Linked DNA regions of Arabidopsis thaliana. The protein of the gene in region 3 interacts with the protein of the main gene of each other region in a biochemical or structural test. Each region holds a gene or a part of one and is shown on either strand. Other genes may lie near its edges. The genes, in order: AHP3, AHP2, HK3 and AHP1.

Region 1 (4,754 bases), on a different chromosome or scaffold from region 3:
TAGTTTGTCAAATGATGGACTTTCTAAATTCTTTTGCGTTTTGATATGGACTTGCTTTACCTAAATTAAATTCCTATAAATTAATTAATGGAATATATTTCTTCTAGATGTTAAGTGTTGAACATTCTTAATTCTCTCTCTTTACGAACAATAGATATGTTCTAGAGCAATATCATGGAGTTGTACGTGGTGTTATGATGATTTCTACACGAGGCATTTATCCTTGACGGACAAGTTGCAATTATTTTCCTCCATGATATTCAATTTTTGGGATGGTATTTTCATTCTCCACAAATGTTGCATCTATGAGATCAATATGCATGCAAGATCTCTAATTAATGGTGTGGTGCATGGTCTGCCCTCCCAAAGGTGGATCTTTATCTTTTGTGTTGTGATAGTAAATTTGTATATATATATCTAGTGTTTAAAAATTTGCTAAGCATGGGGTGATCCAATACCTACCTATTAAAAACGTTTAATCCGAACATAGCTACACACGGACCGAATGTTCTTTTTTGGAGTTTTTTATAATTTTATTAAGATTTTGGGACATTTAGATCTCTTTAAATTAATATTTACTAAATTAAAGAGAGTAGTTAAGATCCTTACCAATAAACGAGAGAGATGTTAAGATCCGTCTCATCAAAAAAAGAGAAAGATTTTAAGATCCAAGTCAGGTCACTTTTTTCTTTGGTATTAATCTCACAACTCAATTCTCAACTCAACTCAGGTCACCAAGATTTAACACTTATAATTTTACACTTTGTTTTCTTAATCATTATATACTATCCTAAGCATATATATGAATCTTTCACCATAAGTTATACCATTTATATATGCTAATATTTTCTAAATAAACCTTACAAATTTGTTGGCGCTAACAACCATTGTTTAATTTTGCTTGGGGTGGCTCTAGTTATATTATATAGACCTTAATTTTGCAGGAGGTATGTAACACCTCATATTGCTTCAGCTTAGCAATTCATATATAGCCAAGACGTGTGGACTTCTCACCCAAAGTTTCCTAGTTTAAATGTGAATGCCTCTAAACAAAAGTTCTTGCTTTCGATGTCTAAACTTAGATGTGTTACCGAATAAAGCCAGATTTACCTCCTTTGACCTTACTATATAGCCAGCTCGCTGCCTCCGCAACTCTCAAAATGACACTCGCGATCATATTAGTTGTTTCCAACAAATTGAAAAATAAAACATTTCACTCAAACAAAAAAAGATCTAAACAGCCGAAAAAACAAGTCCAATATCAAAATCTGTTATAGCAAAAAAAAAGAAGGTAGAGTATTTTGGTAAGAAAGAACTCTAAATGCCTCTACGATATAATATTAATAAGTATGTTACCAAACAACTTAATATTAGTGCAAAAAACCCTTTAGTTTGTCATAAACAGCAAAATCTGCCACTATAAGTTGTTTTCATGAGGTCAAGTTGATGAGAGTATATGATTCTCTGAAGCTCATGTCAAAAGAATAGAACCAATGTTCTTCAGTCTTGTCCACACGGTAATGCTTCAAATGAACTTGTCTATAGAGAATCTTCCAGCGTGAGAGATTCTTAGTGTTGGTGGATTGACATAACAGAAACATACCTAACATTGGAAAATGCTAAAAACTTTGAGTGAATGAATGAATGTATCAATCATGAATTAGAGATTCCATTTTTTATGGCCTAAATCAATGTTTCTCACTTGTAAAAGTTGTCTTTTTGACAACTAATCATATTCTAATTCTTTTTCTCTGCCCTTTATGGAAAAGCTTTGTGACTATTTCTTTATTTATTTCTGTCCAAATTTGATGATCTGTAAGAATCTCTTTATTGGGATTGCAATTTCAAACAAACTTTACATCTTCTTCTTCTCTCTGCTTTTGCCTTCACGACGAGTAGAGAGAGCCATGGACACACTCATTGCTCAGTTACAGAGACGATTTTGTGATTTCACCATTAGTCTCTATCACCAGGTAAATTTTAGCATCTCTCCTTAGAGATTCAGGATAAAAGTGATTAACTTTCTTGTGAAGAGAACTTAGAAATTGTGGTTGAGTTTTAAAGTCTCCTTTTTAGAGATGGCTCTCCACAGTCTTTAGGGTTCTTATTGAAGCTTTTAAATTGGAAACTGGGGATTTAAGAGTTAGGTTTACTGATTGTGAAATGGGTTATTGTCTCCATTTTCAAAGTCGTCTCCTTTCAAAGTGATTACTTTTCTGGTGAAGCAAACTTTGAATTTGTGGTTACGTTTTTAGGGTTCTTATTGAAGCTTGTATATGGCAATTGGGGATTTTGGGAATTGGGTTTAGGGTCTGTGAAATGGGTTATTGTCTCTTTTTCAAAGTTGTCTTCTTTTTAGGGATGACTACTCTCTACTGTTTTTAGGGTACTTGGAGCTTGTATTTGGAATTGGGAATTTTGTGAAATGGGTTTCTGAGATTCTTTGTGTTGGTTTTGTAAAGGGGTTTTTGGATGATCAATTCACAGAATTGAAAAAGCTGCAAGATGAATGTAGTCCTGATTTTGTGGCTGAGGTTGTTACTCTCTTCTTTGAAGACTGTGAGAAGCTTATCAGTAATATGGCTAGAGCTTTGTAAGTTTACTTTTCTTTTACGAGTTTAATCATCAAAAGCTAGCAGATATGGTTTAATGATTGGTTCATATGTATACTCAGAGATCAGACAGGAAATGTAGATTTCAAACTGGTAGGTTCTAGTGTTCATCAACTCAAAGGTAGTAGCTCAAGGTATGTCACATTTGATCTGTATAGTCTCGGTCCTTTAGTCTAATCTCGGATCTAGTCTCAGTGAAGAGCTCCTTTCTTGTTGTTCTATGAAGTGTTGGTGCCAAGAGAGTCAAAGGTCTTTGTGTTACCCTCAAGGAGTGTTGCGACTCTCAGAACTATGAAGGGTAAGCTTTTGTTTTCCGGTTCTTCTTTAAGAGAATCTCAAATTTCTGCTATGTTCATTTGATTGTTGAAACTAATTTGGGAAACAATCTCTGTTATAGGTGTGTGAGATGTTTGCAGCAAGTGGATATTGAGTACAAGACATTAAAAGCAAAGCTTCAAGATCTGTTCAATGTGAGTGAAAAGCTACGTGAATTGTGTCGGTTTTTTGCTTTCGAATTTCGTGAATAAGTCTTGCATTGTTTTGTTGCAGCTTGAGCAACAGATTGTCCAAGCTGGTGGTAGAATCCCTCAAGTGGATATATAAACAATAGACCTATCGACAACAGAACAGCAAGATGATGATCATCCAGTTGCATTCTTCAGACGAGTACTACTCGAATTTGTTGCTTCGAAAAAGAAAAAAAACTCTTGAGAATGTGTGGAAAAGAGAGGTGATTGTTGTTCATAGATCAATACTATGTATCTTTTGTATCATCATCTCTTGAATCTTGGTACTGATCTTATCTGAATAGTATGAATTTGCATCTCATAAGACCATATGAACAAGAGTGAGTTATGTATTCAAAAACAGGAATATTTCCAGACACAGAAGCATCATAAGAAGCAGAAAATTCAAGGAGAGCTACACAAGACAACGCGCAAAAGAATAGACTCTGAAAGCAAAAAGCTTCACGAAGACATTGGCAAAAGGAACAAACCAAGAACAAACACTCACAAGTGTCCCCTGTGAAAGCTGAAACCTAAAGTTAAACCCATCAGCTAATGTTAAGAAAGAAAACGTCACGCAGTTCTCACTGTGAAATACAAAACGTCAACGCAGTCTCACTGTCAAATACAAACGTCACGCAGTTCTTACTGTAAAATAAGAAAACGTCAAGCATTTCTCACTGTAAAATACAAACGTCACGCAGTTTGGTTAGATATGTCGTTGCTTTTAAAAAATTGCGACCCAATAGATTTTTCAACAGTCGTTTTTTTCTTTAAATGAGTGAAGTTTTGCGCAGAGCCAACAACGCACTTAGTAGCGTCAAGCAATACCAATCTCTCTTGAATCACTTTGCAGCTACTCAATCAATTTCAAAAACCAAAGCTTTACACTGCCACGTCATCACCGGCGGTCGAGTTTCCGGCCACATTCTCTCGACTCTCTCCGTAACTTATGCGTTATGTGGTCACATCACTTATGCACGGAAGCTGTTCGAGGAAATGCCTCAAAGCTCTTTGCTTTCTTATAACATTGTTATTAGAATGTACGTGCGTGAAGGATTGTATCACGATGCGATTAGCGTGTTTATTAGGATGGTTAGTGAGGGGGTTAAGTGTGTTCCGGATGGTTATACATACCCTTTTGTTGCTAAAGCTGCTGGAGAATTGAAATCGATGAAATTGGGGTTGGTTGTTCATGGGAGGATCTTGAGGAGTTGGTTTGGTAGGGATAAGTATGTGCAGAACGCGTTGTTAGCGATGTATATGAACTTTGGGAAGGTTGAAATGGCGAGGGATGTGTTTGATGTGATGAAGAACCGTGATGTGATTTCGTGGAACACGATGATTAGTGGGTATTATAGGAATGGTTATATGAATGATGCGTTAATGATGTTTGATTGGATGGTTAATGAAAGTGTTGATCTTGACCATGCTACGATTGTTTCTATGTTGCCTGTTTGTGGTCACTTGAAGGATTTGGAGATGGGGAGGAATGTTCATAAGTTGGTGGAAGAGAAGCGGTTAGGGGATAAAATTGAGGTGAAGAATGCGTTGGTGAATATGTACTTGAAATGTGGTCGTATGGATGAAGCGAGATTTGTTTTTGACAGGATGGAACGAAGGGATGTGATCACGT
Region 2 (4,365 bases), on a different chromosome or scaffold from region 3:
TGACAACATGCAGAAACCAGCTTTCGTGTTCGATGGAAGAAACATTATGAATCTGCAAAAGCTAAGGGAGATTGGTTTCATTGTTTACTCCATTGGTAAGCCTCTCGACGACTGGCTCAAGGACATGCCTGCCGTTGCCTAATGATGTTCATTGCTGACTCTTTCGTCCTCCATCATTTGTGCTTTTCTTCTTCTTGTGGTTTGTCTTTAAGACTTGTTATATTTCTTACAATATGTTTGTTATGTTCTCTGGTGTGTGTTTTGTTTTTTTTGGTATTACTTTCATATTTTTTTGGTCGAAGAGGACTTGTATTCGACAATGTCGCTTCAATTTTGTTGTTTCCTTAGAAACTAAATAAATATTGGTTTATATTGGAGTAAAATGTGTTTGTACTTTGTAGTTAATCGTTGAAAGTTTTGCCACTTATTGAGCTTTGTCTGCGAGAGTTGACTCGGAAGAATATTTGCACATTGTTCATAGAGAATCACATGATATCTCTTCTCTGGTGGATTAGGAACCAAACGCATCTTGTAAAAGTTTCCAGGTTGGAGATTCTGATTTCTGAGTGACACCTAACGATTCCATATTTAAAGCTTTATGTTTTTGTATGTCTCTCATTGCGATTGGTATTTTTTGTTTAAGTAAATATGCATAAATCCATTCGTAGAGGCATTCCTTACAGTACTAGTGACCACATATTAACCTTTTAGGTACGCACACCGAAGTTGGCTACATAACTTGGGTGAGTATTCCAATCTGTAATGTGAATAGTTTACCATATCACATATAGCTCTGATACCATAAAAAACTATATGTGAATAATATTAAAAATCTTATACACAAAATTTTCTTTTAAATGGTTAGTCTAATTGTAATTTAAAAATATCGAAATAATAAGTTGCAATTTTTTTTTTTTTTTTTTGGGTCTTTGAAAAGAAAATATAATGTCAAATACTTTAATTTTTCCAAGTAAATCGAAACATAAGATTGATATTTTTCTTTTATATAAGAAAATTAAATTAGATTTAATATTATTAAATGAGTGTTTCATATTATATTTTTCAGAAAAAGAGTTTTTATTAATTAACCAAATACCAATAATTTACTTAAAAACTTGTATTGAATCCAAATGTTTCCCAAAAAAAAAATATTTAATTGGGATTGACAAAAATAGCACCAACAAAATTTTTTCTTCCAAAAATAACAACTTTTTGAAAAATTTCACAAGTAGCTTTCAAAATTTTAATTAAATATTAAATATAAATAATTAATTTTATTTAAATAAATAAAAATAAAAATTTTCCGCTAAAAATTTTTCGTCAAATTTTCTGCCAAAACAATTCGGTAATAAATTTTCCCGCAAAAAAAATTTTCCGTCAAATTTTTCTTGTAAAAAAACTTGAGGAAGCTAACTACGACATTCGTGAGGATTTCACGGAATTCAGGAAAGATTTTACAAAAAAAATTTTCGTAAAATTCTTCCTGAATTTCGAAAAAGAAAAATTCGGGAATTCAGGAAAAATTCTACAAAATTCAGGAAGGGTTACAAAAGAAAAAAATTATAAATTTCGTGAAACCTTTCCTGAATTGCTTAAAATCTTTCCTATATTTTGTAAAAAAAATTCTGAATTTTTTTTTGTAGGTAAAATGTGGGCGGCGTAATTATTTTTGGTGGAAAAATTTTGACGGAAATTATTTTGTAGAAAAATATTGTTGAAAATTTTTGGTATGAATTTTTGTATTTTTTTAAATGTTAGTTGTAATAATTAAAAATTAAATAATTATTTGAGTGTTATTTATGTTCACAAAACTTTTGAATGGTATTTTTATCAAAAAAAACTTTAAAATTATGTTAATTATGAAAATTCTCTATTTAATTTTTTTCACCCAAATAAATAAATACATAAAAATGTCCAAATATTTGTGTGTTTCTCTTTTAATTATTGTTTCCCATTTAAAGTAAAAAAATCTGGTAGCAGCGTTACAATTCGCGAGAAAGACAAAACACAAGTTTCTTCTTCTTGGGATTGGCTATTTCCAGAAATCCAAGTCAATAATCAAAGTCCAAACAAAAAAATCCTCTCCCAATCTCCGCTTCACTCTTCTCATGGACGCTCTCATTGCTCAGCTTCAGAGACAATTTCGTGATTACACCATTTCTCTCTACCAACAGGTTTCAATTCCACAATTCTTCAAACCCAATTTCATCTCTTTGCTTAGCTAATTTAGCTCATATACACACTAGATTGACTCCTATATGCATAGATTCATGACAAAAGTGAAGAAAGATTGAATCTTTATGTAGATTTTTACAAGTTATGATTTTTAGGGATTTGAGTTGTGTAAAGGTTGGAACTTTAGATTCATGGGTTTGTGTTTTTTTTATGTGAAGGGGTTTTTGGATGATCAATTTACTGAGTTGAAAAAGCTACAAGATGATGGAAGTCCTGATTTTGTGTCTGAAGTGCTTTCACTTTTCTTTGAAGATTGTGTGAAGCTTATCAGTAACATGGCTAGAGCTTTGTAAGTTTTTGATATTCTCTCAGCTAGATCATCATTGCTTGTGTTGTCTTAAAGTGTGATTGTGGCTACTTCTATTTCAGGGACACGACAGGAACTGTAGATTTTAGTCAGGTAGGTGCTAGTGTGCATCAATTGAAGGGTAGTAGCTCAAGGTATGTATCATGTCTCGCTTTATATAAGTAGCAGAAGTTGTGTGTTGTTGATTGATGAAAAGCTTTGTGTTGTTTCTATGTAGTGTTGGTGCCAAGAGGGTCAAAACTTTGTGTGTTAGCTTCAAGGAATGTTGTGAAGCTAAGAACTACGAAGGGTAAGCGAGTTATGGTTTTCTCTTGGGACTCATTGGTTGAGTAATAATAGTCTCATGTTATGTTACAGGTGTGTGAGATGTTTGCAGCAAGTGGATATTGAGTACAAGGCGTTAAAGACAAAGCTTCAAGATATGTTCAATGTGAGTGTGAATAGAATCCATCTCTGTTTTTGGCTCTGCTTTTAATGAATCATTTTGGTTATGAGTAATGAACAAATCATTGACATTGTTGTTGTTGTTGTTGTTTCAGCTTGAGAAACAGATCATTCAAGCTGGTGGTATAGTTCCTCAAGTGGATATTAACTAAAGAGACTAGTCCATAAGAAGAAAAAAGATGATGACTTTCTTTCTTTAGTTTCTCTTCTAAATTATTTTGGATTTGGTGTTTGCTCAAAAACTCAATAAAATATGTGCAAAAAGAAACAAAAACAAGTGATGGTTGTTTATAAATCAGTAGTATGTATTGTTTGATCTCATCCGAGAAAATTGAAACCATTGGACTAATGAATGTGATGATAATATATATTGGTTTGCTTCTGAAAGGTTTGGTTTGAGTAAGATATAGTGATTACTAAGTAAGTCTTGACTAGTGGGTGCTTCTAAAAATTGTGTGTTTAGATCTTTTAGTTTCCCAAATTTGCCCATAATGTTTTCGTAATTATCTGAATTATTTGTCTCGAAGTTGACCTTTACTCAAATTAGTAAAAGTTTGGTAGTGACTTTCCAAATTTTTACAACCTGTCTCCTTATCAGAATATGAATATCGTAAACCCTAAAACCTAAATCTAAACCATTACCCATTCGATATCCGAAATGGACATTCTAAGAAAATATGGTAATTCTTTCAGGATAAATCACAAACCGCTTTCGACGAGATTACGGAGCATGTAGTTAATAAACGGGGAAAATGTCATTTAAATCATCACTTTACCATTTTCGTTGGTTTAAATCATGAACTTTGGATCTGGTGAATTAAATCTTTAATTTTATGTTGACTTTCAAATTAATCACAAATTCTTGTTGACTAAGCAAATTGAGACACAAATTCTTTTTTTCGATGTCGTCAATCGACCTTAAGACGAAATATTACTTTGAATTCGAAAAAGAAGAGAAATTCCAAAGAAGATGAGAGATTCTGAAGAAAAAGAGAGAAAAAATCAAAAATTTTGATTAGAAAGATTTCTAACGATGTGCCTTAATTGGCTTAGTCAACGAATTCGTGATTATATTGAACGTCAACATAAAATTGAGGATTTAAATCACTAGATCGAGATTTTATGCTTCAAAACCAACGGAAATGGTAAAGTGATGATTTAAATGACATTTATCCCGTTAATAAACCAATGAAACCAATAATTGTGGGTTGATATATCTTGAACTATTAATTTGGAGAGATTTGTATATAGAAATTTTATTTTAGGGAGAAAACTAGGTATAGAACTTTAGTTTTAGAGATATATAAAATTATAGATCGGAGTCATACTTTGAACTCTGGTAATAGTTTGGAAATAGACCCTTTTTTTTCCGAAATGGA
Region 3 (8,198 bases):
TACAACAAGATCACATATGAGCATAGTTGAAAAAAACTAGCAGAATCATGGCAAAGCAGTTTCCCAATACTACATTCACGAAGTGCAAGGAGATAGAAGCTCCACAAGACAAAATCTAAATGACACAAGATTACATCTACTGATCTACGCAATCATTTGGGGGAAACCTCTTTTATCTCCAACCTTATCACAGATCTATCACTAAATGCATCAGGGAGGGTCTAAAATTTCGAGACAATTCCAGATCATTGAAGCTTTTAGTGACCTAATACACACATCAATCTACAGAGCAGTAAGGATAAAAACCCTATCGTACATGATCAACAGCGAGGAATACAAAGGAAACACTAAAAATCGAAGTGATCTAAACCCAAGGGAAAGAGATAAGGCAAAAAAAAACCTGGCTGAACTTGAGAGCGTGTTGTTCACCAGCGAGCTGAAGATTGCCGGAGACAAAGACGAGCATACCACCGGCGGGACCAGAAGGCTGACAATCGACGGTGGTGATGTTGTGCTTACACTGCTGGAAAGGGAGGCCGGTGAGCTTAGCGACGATGTTCTGAGAGCCCTGGATCTTCTGGCCTTCGAAGGTCAACATGGATCCTTCTTGGTATAGAGAAACCAACCCTGGACGATTTGCATCGAAGGTGGAGTAGTAGTGCTCAACGAAAGCCTTTGCAACAGCGTCTGGATCCATCTCTTTCTTCGTCTTCCTTTTTGATCCTTAGCTCTTGCGTCGTGCTTTTTCAACAGGCGAGAGAGGATCGAGAGGGTTAGATAATTTACTGAAAAATTATACGAATGGACCAAGACTAGAGATACTGAAATGAGTGTTTGACGATACTTTAAATGGGCCTTATATTTTTCAAGTTGGGCCCGTTAATATATGGGACAATCAACAGTATAGCTCAATTGGTAAATTGACTAACTTCATTTGATTCCTACACCATTTAAAGATTTTTAATCAAATTCTGATATAACTAAGATAATATTTTAAAGCATTTAACTAACATGGAAAATTATGAAATGAAATATTAATTTTGGATAGAAAATTTAAAACATTTATCTTTGTGAAATAAAAAGAAAGTCTCTTATAATATAACTTGTAAAGTAATCCTTTAAATTCTAAAAGATCTAAAACAAAATGAGTTAAATCCTATGTCTATGTGTTGAATCTGGAAGATCGAGGTGGAAGAAAAAGGATCATGATTCATGGGTGAGAGAACAACCGTTGATTGGTGTGTTTCAACTTTCAAGCAATCCCATTTTAAAAAAATAAATTTATGTAAGCAATTGCAAACAAAATGAAATGATTATGCTTTAAGATATCGACACGTGTAAAACAGATGACGTACCAAGAAAATAAATGATTCTGTATTTTGTTTTAGCCATTTGTTTTTTCTTTAAAGGAAAGTGTATGTTGAAATTGAAAAAACAAACCGAGTTATATATATAGAGTTATTTGACTAAAGAAGGAAGCTTTGGTTAAACTAACTTGTATAATTCTTTTGTGTAGTTTAGTTTTGATAAAATGGCCAAACAATTTTGGTCACTTTACCAACTACTGCAAAAAAACCATTTTCATAATAATAAATTGTAACACGCCTTTTATTTTTATTATTGGAGGGTGAGAACTGAGACCATATATGCCTTTGTTCCCTTCTTGTGGGTCCCTTTAGCCTTTTTTTTTCTTTTGCCTGCGCCGTTTAGTGTTTTTTCTTTTATATATAAATAGAGGTAAGTTATTTTACCAATCATTTGGTGTTATTAATAGTAGTATTAATGAGGTTCTAAACTTGTTTATAAAAATCAGATCTTACTAAACAAACTCAAAGAATCTCAACTATGAACATTTTTCTTCTAGAATCGAGTTTTAACATCATCATCAGCAGGATATAATTTTTTGTGTTTGAATTTTATCTGTATTTTTTTTAGGAGTACATAAGCAGCTTAAGATTAAAATATATATTAATGGAAGTATGAATGAAAAAAGAAAAGAAAGATAATCAGATAATAGAGAGAGAGAGAGAGAGAAGGAAGCAGACATTTGTCTTCCACCATATTCTTCTCATCTTTTCCGATGATAGATTCTTCTTCTTCTTCTTCTTCTACTACTACTTCTGCTCCTCTTTCTTAAGTTTCTCCATTTGATAATTCACTCAAGTCTCCAGCTCCTCTTCTTCTTCTCGTTGCTTTATTCGCTCTCTTTCACTCATCATCATCACACTCAAAGATTTCTGTTGTATTGGAGCAAGCTCTAGCGAATTTTCGTACTCCCCTTGTAGAATTTTAGTTTCCTGTTTTAGATTTCGAGGAATCTCGCTTTGGAAACTTTAAGCTCCTGTTCAAAGTTTCTACCTTTGTTTATTTTGTTTTTGTTTTCTTCTCTCTTATCTTTCGTCATCTTTGATTAAGTAACCACTTTGATCTCTCAATTTCAGCCTTTGGGTTGTCTAATCTGACACGTTCCTCTGTCTTAGCTTTCCTTTTCTCTTCTCGTTTGTGGGAAGCCTACAAGGATTAATTATTAAATACCCAACCCCAAAAAATTCTTCCTTTTTGATTCTCTGATTCGTCCCTTTTTGTACATGGTTTCTGTTTGGTTGTTAGAGCTTCTTGCTGAGTTGAATTGAGCTGGTTGCAATCACTCTGTTTCTTGGGGGTTGATCGTGTATTCAAGTGGTGGATGAGTCTGTTCCATGTGCTAGGGTTTGGTGTCAAGATTGGGCATCTCTTCTGGATGCTATGCTGCTGGTTTGTTTCTTGGTTCGTTGATAATGGGATCGAGGACAAGTCTGGTCTTTTAGTTGGCTCTGTCGGTGATCTTGAGAAGACTAAGATGACTACGTTGAAGAAGAAGAACAAGATGTGGTTCTGGAATAAGATCTCTAGCAGCGGACTCAAGATCCCGAGTTTCTCTTATCAGTTTCTTGGCTCTGTTAAATTCAACAAGGCGTGGTGGAGGAAGCTTGTGGTGGTTTGGGTTGTCTTCTGGGTCTTGGTCTCTATTTGGACGTTTTGGTACTTTAGCTCGCAAGCTATGGAGAAGAGGAAAGAGACGCTAGCTAGTATGTGTGATGAGAGAGCTCGTATGCTGCAGGATCAGTTCAACGTTAGCATGAATCATGTTCAAGCCATGTCTATCTTGATCTCAACCTTCCACCATGGCAAGATTCCTTCTGCTATCGATCAGGTATTCTCGATTCCGCATCTTCTTGTCTTCTAATCTGTTTGGATTGATGCCTGAGATCTAGTCTTGCTTGTAGTACATAAGTTGTTCCTACGGTGTAGTATATGAACGGTCCTTGGATGATGGTAGCTTTTTTCATTCAACTTGCTCTCGAATTTCAGTTAGGATTTACAATTTTGCTGATTGTTGCTTACAGTCTTTGTATTTAGCTAACACTTGGTAGCTTGATTCCTATCTTCTTGAGTATTAGTGAACAGTAACTAACATTAAGAAGCTTTGTGTAGAGAACATTCTCAGAGTACACTGATAGAACTTCCTTTGAGAGGCCTCTTACTAGCGGGGTAGCTTATGCTATGAGGGTGCTCCATTCAGAGAGGGAAGAGTTCGAGAGGCAACAAGGTTGGACTATTAGGAAGATGTATTCTCTTGAACAAAACCCAGTTCACAAGGATGACTATGACCTGGAAGCTTTGGAACCATCCCCTGTCCAAGAAGAGTACGCTCCAGTCATCTTTGCTCAGGACACTGTTTCTCACGTTGTTTCTCTCGATATGCTGTCTGGGAAAGTAAGCTTCTTTACTGGTTCTAATTTTACTGTTTTTATGTAATTTACTATCATGGTCTACACTCACTACCGGGCGAATCCTGCCGACATGGCTAGTTCATATTTCAATCTCGGCTTACCGATTAAGTTGTTTTGATCATTTTATTTAAAGTTTAGAGCACTGTTTTAACTGATACTTATTCTCACTCAATTCCTCTTGATAGGAAGATCGTGAAAACGTTTTGCGGGCCAGGAGTTCAGGTAAAGGGGTTTTGACAGCTCCTTTCCCATTGATAAAGACAAATAGACTTGGGGTGATCCTGACATTTGCAGTGTACAAGAGAGATCTCCCCTCCAATGCAACGCCAAAAGAGAGAATTGAGGCTACTAACGGGTGTGTAGCATAGGCGTCTAAATAAATAATAACGCATAAGTTTTACAACATTATTTTTGCTCATTCATCTCTTTTGATGCCCCTGAAGGTATCTCGGGGGAGTGTTTGACATTGAGTCCCTGGTAGAAAACTTGCTTCAACAGCTGGCTAGCAAGCAAACGATTCTTGTCAATGTGTACGATATCACCAATCACTCTCAACCGATTAGCATGTATGGTACAAATGTGTCGGCTGATGGGTTGGAACGTGTTAGTCCACTAATCTTTGGCGATCCATTGAGAAAGCATGAGATGCGTTGCAGGTACTTGCAGTTGGCACATACATATGTCTGTAATTTCTTCTTGTTTGCAAGAATCCAGGTGCTAACATTTTGTTGTGAGCTTCTTCCTCTTTGTAGATTTAAGCAGAAACCACCATGGCCAGTGCTATCAATGGTGACATCATTCGGTATCCTTGTGATTGCGTTACTTGTTGCACATATAATCCACGCAACCGTTAGTCGAATACACAAAGTTGAAGAAGATTGTGATAAAATGAAGCAGCTCAAGAAAAAGGCTGAAGCAGCAGATGTTGCAAAGTCACAGGTAAATACATCATCCTCAGTTGATAAATTTCCACAGCATATTAAACTTTCTATGACAGAGAGAAGAGTTGTAATCTAACTTTTTTTTATGCAGTTCCTTGCCACTGTTTCACATGAAATCAGAACTCCAATGAATGGTGTTCTAGGTGAGTATCGAAATGGCCACTATGTTGCCTCCTTCTCTCACCTATGCCCATGAATATTTTCTGAAGAACAAACTTAACCAAATATTCTCATGTTGACTTTGATCTGGGGTGTAGGAATGTTGCATATGCTTATGGACACAGAGTTAGATGTTACGCAACAGGATTATGTTAGGACCGCACAGGCAAGTGGAAAAGCTTTAGTCTCGCTAATAAATGAGGTTTTGGACCAAGCAAAGATTGAATCTGGAAAGCTTGAACTTGAGGAGGTGCGGTTTGATTTGAGAGGAATATTAGATGATGTCCTGTCACTCTTCTCTAGCAAGTCCCAACAAAAGGGGGTGGAGGTAACTTACTATATGATCTGCAAAGCAAGGGTTGTAACTGATAGCAAGTCTTTCTTACTGATTTTTTGAGTGTTGCTGATGAACGCAGTTGGCAGTATACATATCTGATCGTGTTCCAGATATGTTAATTGGTGATCCTGGGAGGTTTCGACAAATACTCACAAATCTTATGGGTAATTCCATTAAGGTAAACTTTTTTATTATGTTTTTTTCTGACCATTCCTTGCATCCGAGTTGATCAACGGAGCTGATCATTTATATATATTCTGGCAGTTCACTGAGAAAGGACACATCTTTGTAACTGTTCATTTGGTGGATGAGCTATTTGAATCTATCGATGGAGAGACAGCATCATCTCCGGAAAGTACACTGAGTGGGCTTCCAGTTGCAGACCGGCAGAGGAGCTGGGAAAACTTTAAAGCTTTCAGCTCCAACGGGCATCGGAGCTTTGAACCATCTCCCCCTGATATAAACCTAATCGTCTCAGTTGAGGATACTGGCGTAGGGATCCCTGTAGAAGCGCAGTCCCGTATTTTTACGCCTTTCATGCAAGTCGGACCATCCATATCCAGGACGCATGGAGGCACAGGAATTGGACTTAGCATAAGCAAATGTCTAGTTGGACTGATGAAGGGAGAAATTGGATTCTCGAGTACTCCCAAGGTTGGGTCCACATTCACATTTACTGCTGTATTTTCCAATGGGATGCAACCAGCTGAAAGAAAGAATGACAACAACCAGCCCATATTCTCGGAATTCCGGGGCATGAAAGCTGTGGTTGTGGACCATAGGCCTGCAAGGGCAAAAGTCTCGTGGTACCATTTTCAGCGTCTTGGAATTCGAGTCGAAGTAGTTCCACGTGTTGAACAGGCTCTACATTATCTGAAGATTGGTACTACCACTGTGAATATGATACTCATAGAGCAAGAAATATGGAATAGGGAAGCAGATGATTTCATTAAAAAGCTACAGAAAGACCCTCTTTTCCTTTCTCCTAAGTTGATTTTGTTAGCAAACTCAGTAGAATCGTCAATATCAGAGGCTTTATGCACCGGTATAGATCCTCCAATAGTGATAGTGAAACCATTGAGGGCGAGTATGCTAGCAGCAACTTTGCAGAGGGGATTGGGTATTGGAATCAGAGAACCACCTCAACACAAGGGACCTCCTGCTTTGATTCTCAGGAATCTTCTCCTTGGTAGAAAAATTTTAATCGTGGATGATAACAACGTAAACCTCAGAGTGGCAGCGGGAGCTCTGAAAAAGTACGGAGCTGATGTGGTCTGCGCTGAGAGTGGGATAAAGGCAATCTCATTGCTTAAGCCACCTCACGAGTTTGATGCTTGCTTCATGGACATTCAGATGCCAGAAATGGATGGGTATGCCTGATTGGTATACTAGTTTTTTTGAAAAGTTCGAAATATGTAATAAGAAAATTGAAATGTTTTTCTGCCCTGTCTTTCTGCAGATTTGAAGCTACAAGGAGAATACGAGATATGGAAGAGGAGATGAACAAGAGAATAAAGAATGGGGAGGCTTTGATAGTAGAGAACGGTAACAAAACAAGCTGGCATCTTCCGGTATTAGCAATGACGGCAGATGTGATCCAAGCAACGCATGAGGAATGTCTGAAGTGTGGAATGGATGGGTATGTATCAAAACCATTTGAAGCAGAGCAGCTGTACAGGGAAGTTTCTCGCTTTTTCAATTCGCCTTCAGATACAGAATCATAAGAGGAGATGGGGCTGGAAGAAGAACAGCGAAGGAAACACAAAAACTCGTGTCTCCTATGCATCTTGAAGTAGTAGTAAGCCGCCTATATTCCTCCTCTCTATATATTTACTCACCTAAAAACATGTCTTCTCAACTGACAGTAACGCCTTATGTGAACTTGTTTATAGGAAAAACAGATTGACGATTGCAAAAAGAGTGTATATAGAAAGGCCGGTGTGACCAGGCCAAGAACTTAGGACCAGTACTTTCTCCTGTAAATTTTTTTTCTACATTTTTCTCTGGTCTGATTGAGACAACAAAACTTGTGGTATGTAGATGAGAGTAGCAGCTGGAATATATTCAGAGTTGCTTTGGACAGGGAAGAGAGCATCATAGTATGTGTGTAAAAGTGTGTGTGCATGATTTAGGATATTTCTTCTTGTATTAGAGAACAGTGCTGCAGTTTCTTTGTTATCATCATGGTCCAAGATAGGGAAGTGGACATTACTACTTATACATACACTGGCTTTGTGATATAAAGTTGAAGATAGCTTTTACTTTCTCTTCCCCTTCTTTACGTACAATGCATATTGGAACCAAAACCAAATGATCGGACCGAATCAAGAAACAGAACCGAATGTCTTCAAATAGTTGTGTTTTGTGTCCAACTAAATTCACGTAGAAGAACTATAGAAACGTGGACCCCAAAACGTGAGTGTGGTTGTTTGACTTTTAAACACGTCCGTGAGATTTTCAGATTGACCTTTAGGTCACATTTTTGTCCACCACATCAACATGAGAGGGCTTTTCTCAAGCATTTCAATAATCGGAATCCAATCACTGACCGCCACGTGGACATCATACGTCTCAATAACCAATCATAGAATGGTTGTGACGACGTTCACGGTGAGTTGCAGTACCCGATCCCTTTTAAGGTCCGTGACAGAATAATTTTGAAACCAGCAAGACAAATTTAGTCAAACCAAAAAAAAAAAAAAAACGAAAGCGCAAAGACTAAGGAGAAAAGAAATTCTTCGCTTCTTCTCCGGTGTAATCATGGTATAGCCCGCGATCTCGATTGTTTCTTATTATCGGTATTCATGTTATATTAGCTAGAATTGTGTTTTGTACCTCCGATCTGATTCACAGATTCAGTATGTGAAATTCATTATTTTGAGGATTTGATCGTCTTATCAATGATTTAATCTATGTTTGAATATTGTTGAATCACGGGCAATTTCGCATCACGCCAAAAGAATTGTATCTAACAGATGCGAAAAAGTT
Region 4 (4,744 bases), on a different chromosome or scaffold from region 3:
ACACCGTAGAAGAATTGGTAATAACATTGACTAAGTCAAACTATTTTAAATTTTGTCTATATGTCTACACACGAAGACTCAATAATTTCTAAAACGGTTGATTATAATTTCTTCGATAAGTTATTGAGTTTTGGAACTAAATGCGAAGAAATTTCTAAGGCGTCGAATAAAGCACACGTTTGGTGATGAATCTTGACTGAATCTAAAGAGAAGTTTCTCTTATGGATCCGTAAAAATTTTAAGACTATACAACGACTTTGAATGTCTTTTGAATGTGTTGTTTTTGTGTTTATATGTTAAAATGCGGTTAGTTTTCTTTTATCAAACATAATTTGTAAACGTGATAACACAAAATTGATAGAGAATATGGACTTGTGTTTTAAAATCTACGTTTACATGCATTTGTATTTTACATGATCTAAAAGTGTGTTTATCGTATGTGAAACCATTACGTCAACATGGATTGTTTTTACGGTATTGTGTTACAAATGTAAATACACCATTTTAATATCTAAACTCACTTTTTTCTTCTTTTTGTTTGCGGTTGAACCAACCAAGCCCATACACGAGATAAAATTGACAACTAATTTATTTTACTTGTGTAAATTGAACTTAACCTGAAATTGGCAGTGAACCAACAAATCGACTAACTCGTTCTGCATGTTTACCTTTTATTTGTTTTTAGTAAATAATATCGTATTTGGCTGCGTCTACAGCGACTTGTATTCTAGCTTTAAACCTTTTTAAAAACTTGATATGGCTATTGGCTATAAGGATTTTCTTATAATAAATTGCTTGGAGATATGGGTGAGTGCAAACTCTTTCTTGACTTTTTACGTATAAATTTGTTAAAAACTAAGGAAGCACAGTTTAACTTTTATACGGAGATAATATAATGTAAGATATCAAAATTCATAATAAGATTTGAAAGGTCCATAATTAGTGATGGAACCTTCTTACGATGGACCCATTATCAAGTAAGAACCACTAATAATCTTTGGTTAGTTAGTATATATAATACGTTTTATGCCATTCGTTAAACGCATCCTACGTTCTTGCATGTCCCATGTCCATTCATCATGTGAGACGTGTCAAAGCGTTGATGTTTACCCAAATTTGCAGAAATTAATACAGTGAAACTAATTTACTATTTTTATTTTGGCTTGACGTGTTGAAATTGTTATTGAAAATACGAATTGTCTAAGGAAAAAATTGTCATTTTACTGTGCATGAGGAAATAGATAAGAATGGTGTGTATGAGTATGATTGGGAAAGTATTTGGAGTGACGAAAATACCAGGGATATGCAAATGAAGAAATAGTGTGGTTGAAAAAGATGAGACTGGTGTGCTGATCGTTGTAGTTGAAAATGTTACGTAAAAATATATTGTATGTAGTACTCTATGAAAGATTGAAAGGATATGAGCTATTGCATATATATTGTTAGGTTGTTTTGAAATATTGTTAGTTGAAAGAAATTTATAGAGCAAGTGACAAACGAGTAAATAGAAAAGCTTTGAGAAATCACGAAAAAACATTTGAATTGTGATAAGTGGTTGATTATAATGAAAAATATTGGTATAACACAAAATATGATAAATCCTAGTTTAATAAGAATTCCACCAAATGATTGGACGAGATATATGACTAAAGAAATTATAAGCTGCATTTAGTTTTGGTTTTGAACAACATTACAAAGTGTTAGGCGGCATTTGAGTTCTCAAAGTCACAATTTCCTTGATAAACCCATTACGTTACGATATTTGTGATACATCAATATAAAATAAACTAACCAATCAATGTATTATTATAATAAAAGAATTGCTAGTTGGACAAAAACAATGAGGATCAAATCAAAATTATATTACAAATAAAGTTTCCCTAGAGATGCTATTTGAAAGATACATTGAATGCGAGCTGTGCATATTAGTATATGCTTTTCATCAGTAGTACAGTAATTTAAATATTCGAACCAATAAAATGTTTTAAAATCTTAAGAAAAAAAAAGACAAATCAAGAAGTATCAAATGCTCTTCTTATGTCTTTATCACATTTGCAAAAAAAACGAGGAAAAAAAGGCGCGAATGGTTAGACAGTTGACAGCACGACCAACTTCCATTCTTTAAGAGTTTCTTTCTTTTTGGATTCTTTTCTCACATCCAAACCAAAATTGTAATAATAAAATACAAACTATTTAAATTTAAAAAATAGGGTTTTTTGATACGGAGGATTTTGTTCTCATCTTTTAAGTACTGAGGATTTTGTTGGACATTTTCTTACCTCCATTATTGGCAGAGAGAAACAAAGAAATAAAGAACAAAAGCAAATAACAGAGAATATGGATTTGGTTCAGAAGCAGAAGAGTTTGCAAGATTACACCAAATCACTCTTCTTAGAAGTAAGTTTTTCACATTTGAAAAGATCAAATAATCAGAAAACTTGTTTTAACGTTCACAACTTTTTCTTTCTGGTTTTAGGACTTGTAGTAAAAATGGTTTTAGGACTTATAGTAAAAATGTGTTAGGCTTTTGTAGTTTCTTTGGTAAGATAATCATGAGTTTAGGTTATGTAAAATTAGTTTCTGATTATGGAAAGTCTTTTGTTTTGGGTAAATACAAAAAAGGGGATTTTGGACAGCCAGTTCTTGCAGCTGCAACAACTACAAGATGAAAGCAATCCAGATTTTGTTTCACAAGTTGTCACACTCTTCTTCCAAGACTCTGATAGGATTCTCAATGATCTCTCACTTTCCCTGTAATCTTCTTTACACATTCTCTCTTTAATCTTTTTTTTTTTGTTCTTTTCCAAAACTTGTGTTTCTCACTGTTTTTTTATGCTTCGGGCAGAGATCAACAAGTTGTAGACTTTAAAAAAGTTGATCCCCATGTTCATCAACTCAAAGGTAGCAGCTCCAGGTAACAACAAAAACAAAACTGGCTATTTCTGATTTTAATCCAATGATAATGACATTTTCTTGATCTTGAAATGTGTAACAATATATATTGCCAAAAAATAACAGTATAGGAGCACAGAGAGTTAAGAATGCTTGTGTTGTCTTCCGCAGCTTCTGCGAGCAGCAAAATGTCGAAGCGTGAGTTTAATCGATATGTTCGTTGGTCCATTCGTTATTTCTTTGTTTTAAGATCTGATTAGGAAAATACATCGTTGAAAAATTTCAGATGTCATAGATGTTTGCAACAAGTGAAGCAAGAGTATTATCTTGTGAAAAACAGATTAGAGACTCTGTTCAAGGTAAAAAGTCAAAGAGACTTTTTTTTTTTTTATAAAACCACCCACATAACTCTTATCTAGTTATACAATATTTTGATCAACATTTGAAACTTATCTGATTCAATTTTGGTTTTGATGATCGAATCTATGCAGCTGGAGCAACAGATTGTAGCTTCTGGTGGAATGATCCCGGCCGTCGAACTCGGATTTTGAGTGAATTTCATAAACATCTCTGTCCATTGTTGTTTCATTTTGGACTCTCTCTTCTTCCTCTCTTTATGTGACTATCAAAAAAAGGTTCTTATGTGAACTTCTTTCTTTGTGCCATTGGAAGAGTGAGACATGCTAAAACGTTTCTTAATCCACATCTAAATCCCACATATGTAAAATAAGATCTCAAGCAAACATATAGTCATGAGTCATGACTACAATTATATAGAGTTTGATCAAGATAATGTACGCATCAAGGTAATGTGATCCGGACAACTTGGTTAGGTATTAGGTTGTTGTTTTACTGTAACTGTTAGAAGTAGTTAGAAGTCTTGTAGTCCTTGACCAAAGAACACAGATGGGCCATATGAATTTTAGTAGCCCAAGATGATAACAAAGGGCCCGTACTAAACATCCATGATGATCTTGGAAATCTTTTTTTTATTACGATTGCACTTCGACGAATCTCTAAAGATTTTCAGACATTTATACAATGCAATTAAGAAAAAAATAAAGTTATACTATGTGAGTGCACGTTAAATAATGTAGCTAAAAATAAAATAATGACAAAATTCTTAATTACTTACAGATCCGTGACCTGTCGTCGACTATATATGGCTCCAATTTATAACCTCATGTTCGATTTCTAGACTTCTAGTTTACCACTTATAACTTTGTATTGCTCTATACTCGTATTAATTAGTGCTCCATCTTTTTTATTTGAACTTTTTTGGGTAAAGAATGAGCGTTCCCTTCATCGTTTGTTCATAACTTTACTAGTTCCTTTAATTGTACCTTCTGTTTAATTTTGTTTTCAAGTGACCTTTTTGTCTTTTCAATAATAATTAAGATTTCCAGTTCGTAATTTCGTATGTATAATGAACCATACCATTAATTATGCAATATGACAAAAATATGATGTTTATATGTTCTTCCACCTTGTTATTATCGATTACAAATTTAAATAAGGATCATAGGGTAAATAACACTTTTTTTTTTTTGGTTATAATCAATATCTTATTCCTATTTTATTGTTTCAAACATGCATAGTATCCAAAGGGAAGCATGTTTTGGTGAAAATATATGCATAGAAGAAGAAGACTAATCAGTAATCAAGACAAGAGATAGGTTGAATAATTCCATTAAGTTTTCTCCTATCTGTAGTCTAAATCACTAGTTACAACTTTCAACACACATGAAACACATTATACATGCATCATTATTCATTAATGTGTTAGGTTACGCTACGTATATTTTGTGTAGATTTGAAAGTACAGATATGTAATGTAATTATCATACAAACA

Evidence for each region.
Region 1: the proteins of HK3 (region 3) and AHP3 form a complex in vitro, tested with the Arabidopsis thaliana proteins (one study listed by BioGRID).
Region 2: the proteins of HK3 (region 3) and AHP2 form a complex in vitro, tested with the Arabidopsis thaliana proteins (one study listed by BioGRID).
Region 4: the proteins of HK3 (region 3) and AHP1 form a complex in vitro, tested with the Arabidopsis thaliana proteins (one study listed by BioGRID).

Annotation. Positions count from the first base shown.
Region 1 is NC_003076.8:15,747,034-15,751,787, forward strand, and holds AHP3 (histidine-containing phosphotransmitter 3), read left to right. Parts: upstream 1-1,697; 5' UTR 1,698-1,760; coding exon 1,761-1,973; intron 1,974-2,462; coding exon 2,463-2,593; intron 2,594-2,674; coding exon 2,675-2,746; intron 2,747-2,838; coding exon 2,839-2,910; intron 2,911-3,009; coding exon 3,010-3,082; intron 3,083-3,161; coding exon 3,162-3,215; 3' UTR 3,216-3,858; downstream 3,859-4,754. Other genes in the region: AT5G39350 (Tetratricopeptide repeat (TPR)-like superfamily protein), read left to right, coding at 3,896-4,754.
Region 2 is NC_003074.8:11,263,152-11,267,516, reverse strand, and holds AHP2 (histidine-containing phosphotransmitter 2), read left to right. Parts: upstream 1-1,954; 5' UTR 1,955-2,108; coding exon 2,109-2,174; intron 2,175-2,393; coding exon 2,394-2,524; intron 2,525-2,604; coding exon 2,605-2,676; intron 2,677-2,759; coding exon 2,760-2,831; coding exon of another isoform or gene 2,832-2,835; exon of another isoform or gene 2,836-2,886; intron 2,887-2,899; coding exon 2,900-2,972; intron 2,973-3,081; coding exon 3,082-3,138; 3' UTR 3,139-3,391; downstream 3,392-4,365. Other genes in the region: UGD2 (UDP-glucose 6-dehydrogenase family protein), read left to right, coding at 1-142. UniProt on the Arabidopsis thaliana protein: Functions as a two-component phosphorelay mediators between cytokinin sensor histidine kinases and response regulator (B-type ARRs). Plays an important role in propagating cytokinin signal transduction through the multistep His-to-Asp phosphorelay.
Region 3 is NC_003070.9:9,485,094-9,493,291, forward strand, and holds HK3 (histidine kinase 3), read left to right. Parts: upstream 1-1,795; 5' UTR 1,796-2,686; coding exon 2,687-3,193; intron 3,194-3,474; coding exon 3,475-3,756; intron 3,757-3,958; coding exon 3,959-4,128; intron 4,129-4,216; coding exon 4,217-4,429; intron 4,430-4,525; coding exon 4,526-4,712; intron 4,713-4,805; coding exon 4,806-4,857; intron 4,858-4,971; coding exon 4,972-5,201; intron 5,202-5,289; coding exon 5,290-5,388; intron 5,389-5,474; coding exon 5,475-6,580; intron 6,581-6,669; coding exon 6,670-6,934; 3' UTR 6,935-7,008; intron 7,009-7,102; 3' UTR 7,103-7,539; downstream 7,540-8,198. Other genes in the region: NTF2A (nuclear transport factor 2A), read right to left, coding at 401-697; AT1G27330 (Ribosome associated membrane protein RAMP4), read left to right, coding at 7,971-7,973. UniProt on the Arabidopsis thaliana protein: Cytokinins (CK) receptor related to bacterial two-component regulators. Functions as a histidine kinase and transmits the stress signal to a downstream MAPK cascade.
Region 4 is NC_003074.8:7,577,131-7,581,874, reverse strand, and holds AHP1 (histidine-containing phosphotransmitter 1), read left to right. Parts: upstream 1-2,085; 5' UTR 2,086-2,337; coding exon 2,338-2,397; intron 2,398-2,622; coding exon 2,623-2,753; intron 2,754-2,845; coding exon 2,846-2,914; intron 2,915-3,018; coding exon 3,019-3,090; intron 3,091-3,178; coding exon 3,179-3,251; intron 3,252-3,383; coding exon 3,384-3,443; 3' UTR 3,444-4,163; downstream 4,164-4,744. UniProt on the Arabidopsis thaliana protein: Functions as a two-component phosphorelay mediators between cytokinin sensor histidine kinases and response regulator (B-type ARRs). Plays an important role in propagating cytokinin signal transduction through the multistep His-to-Asp phosphorelay.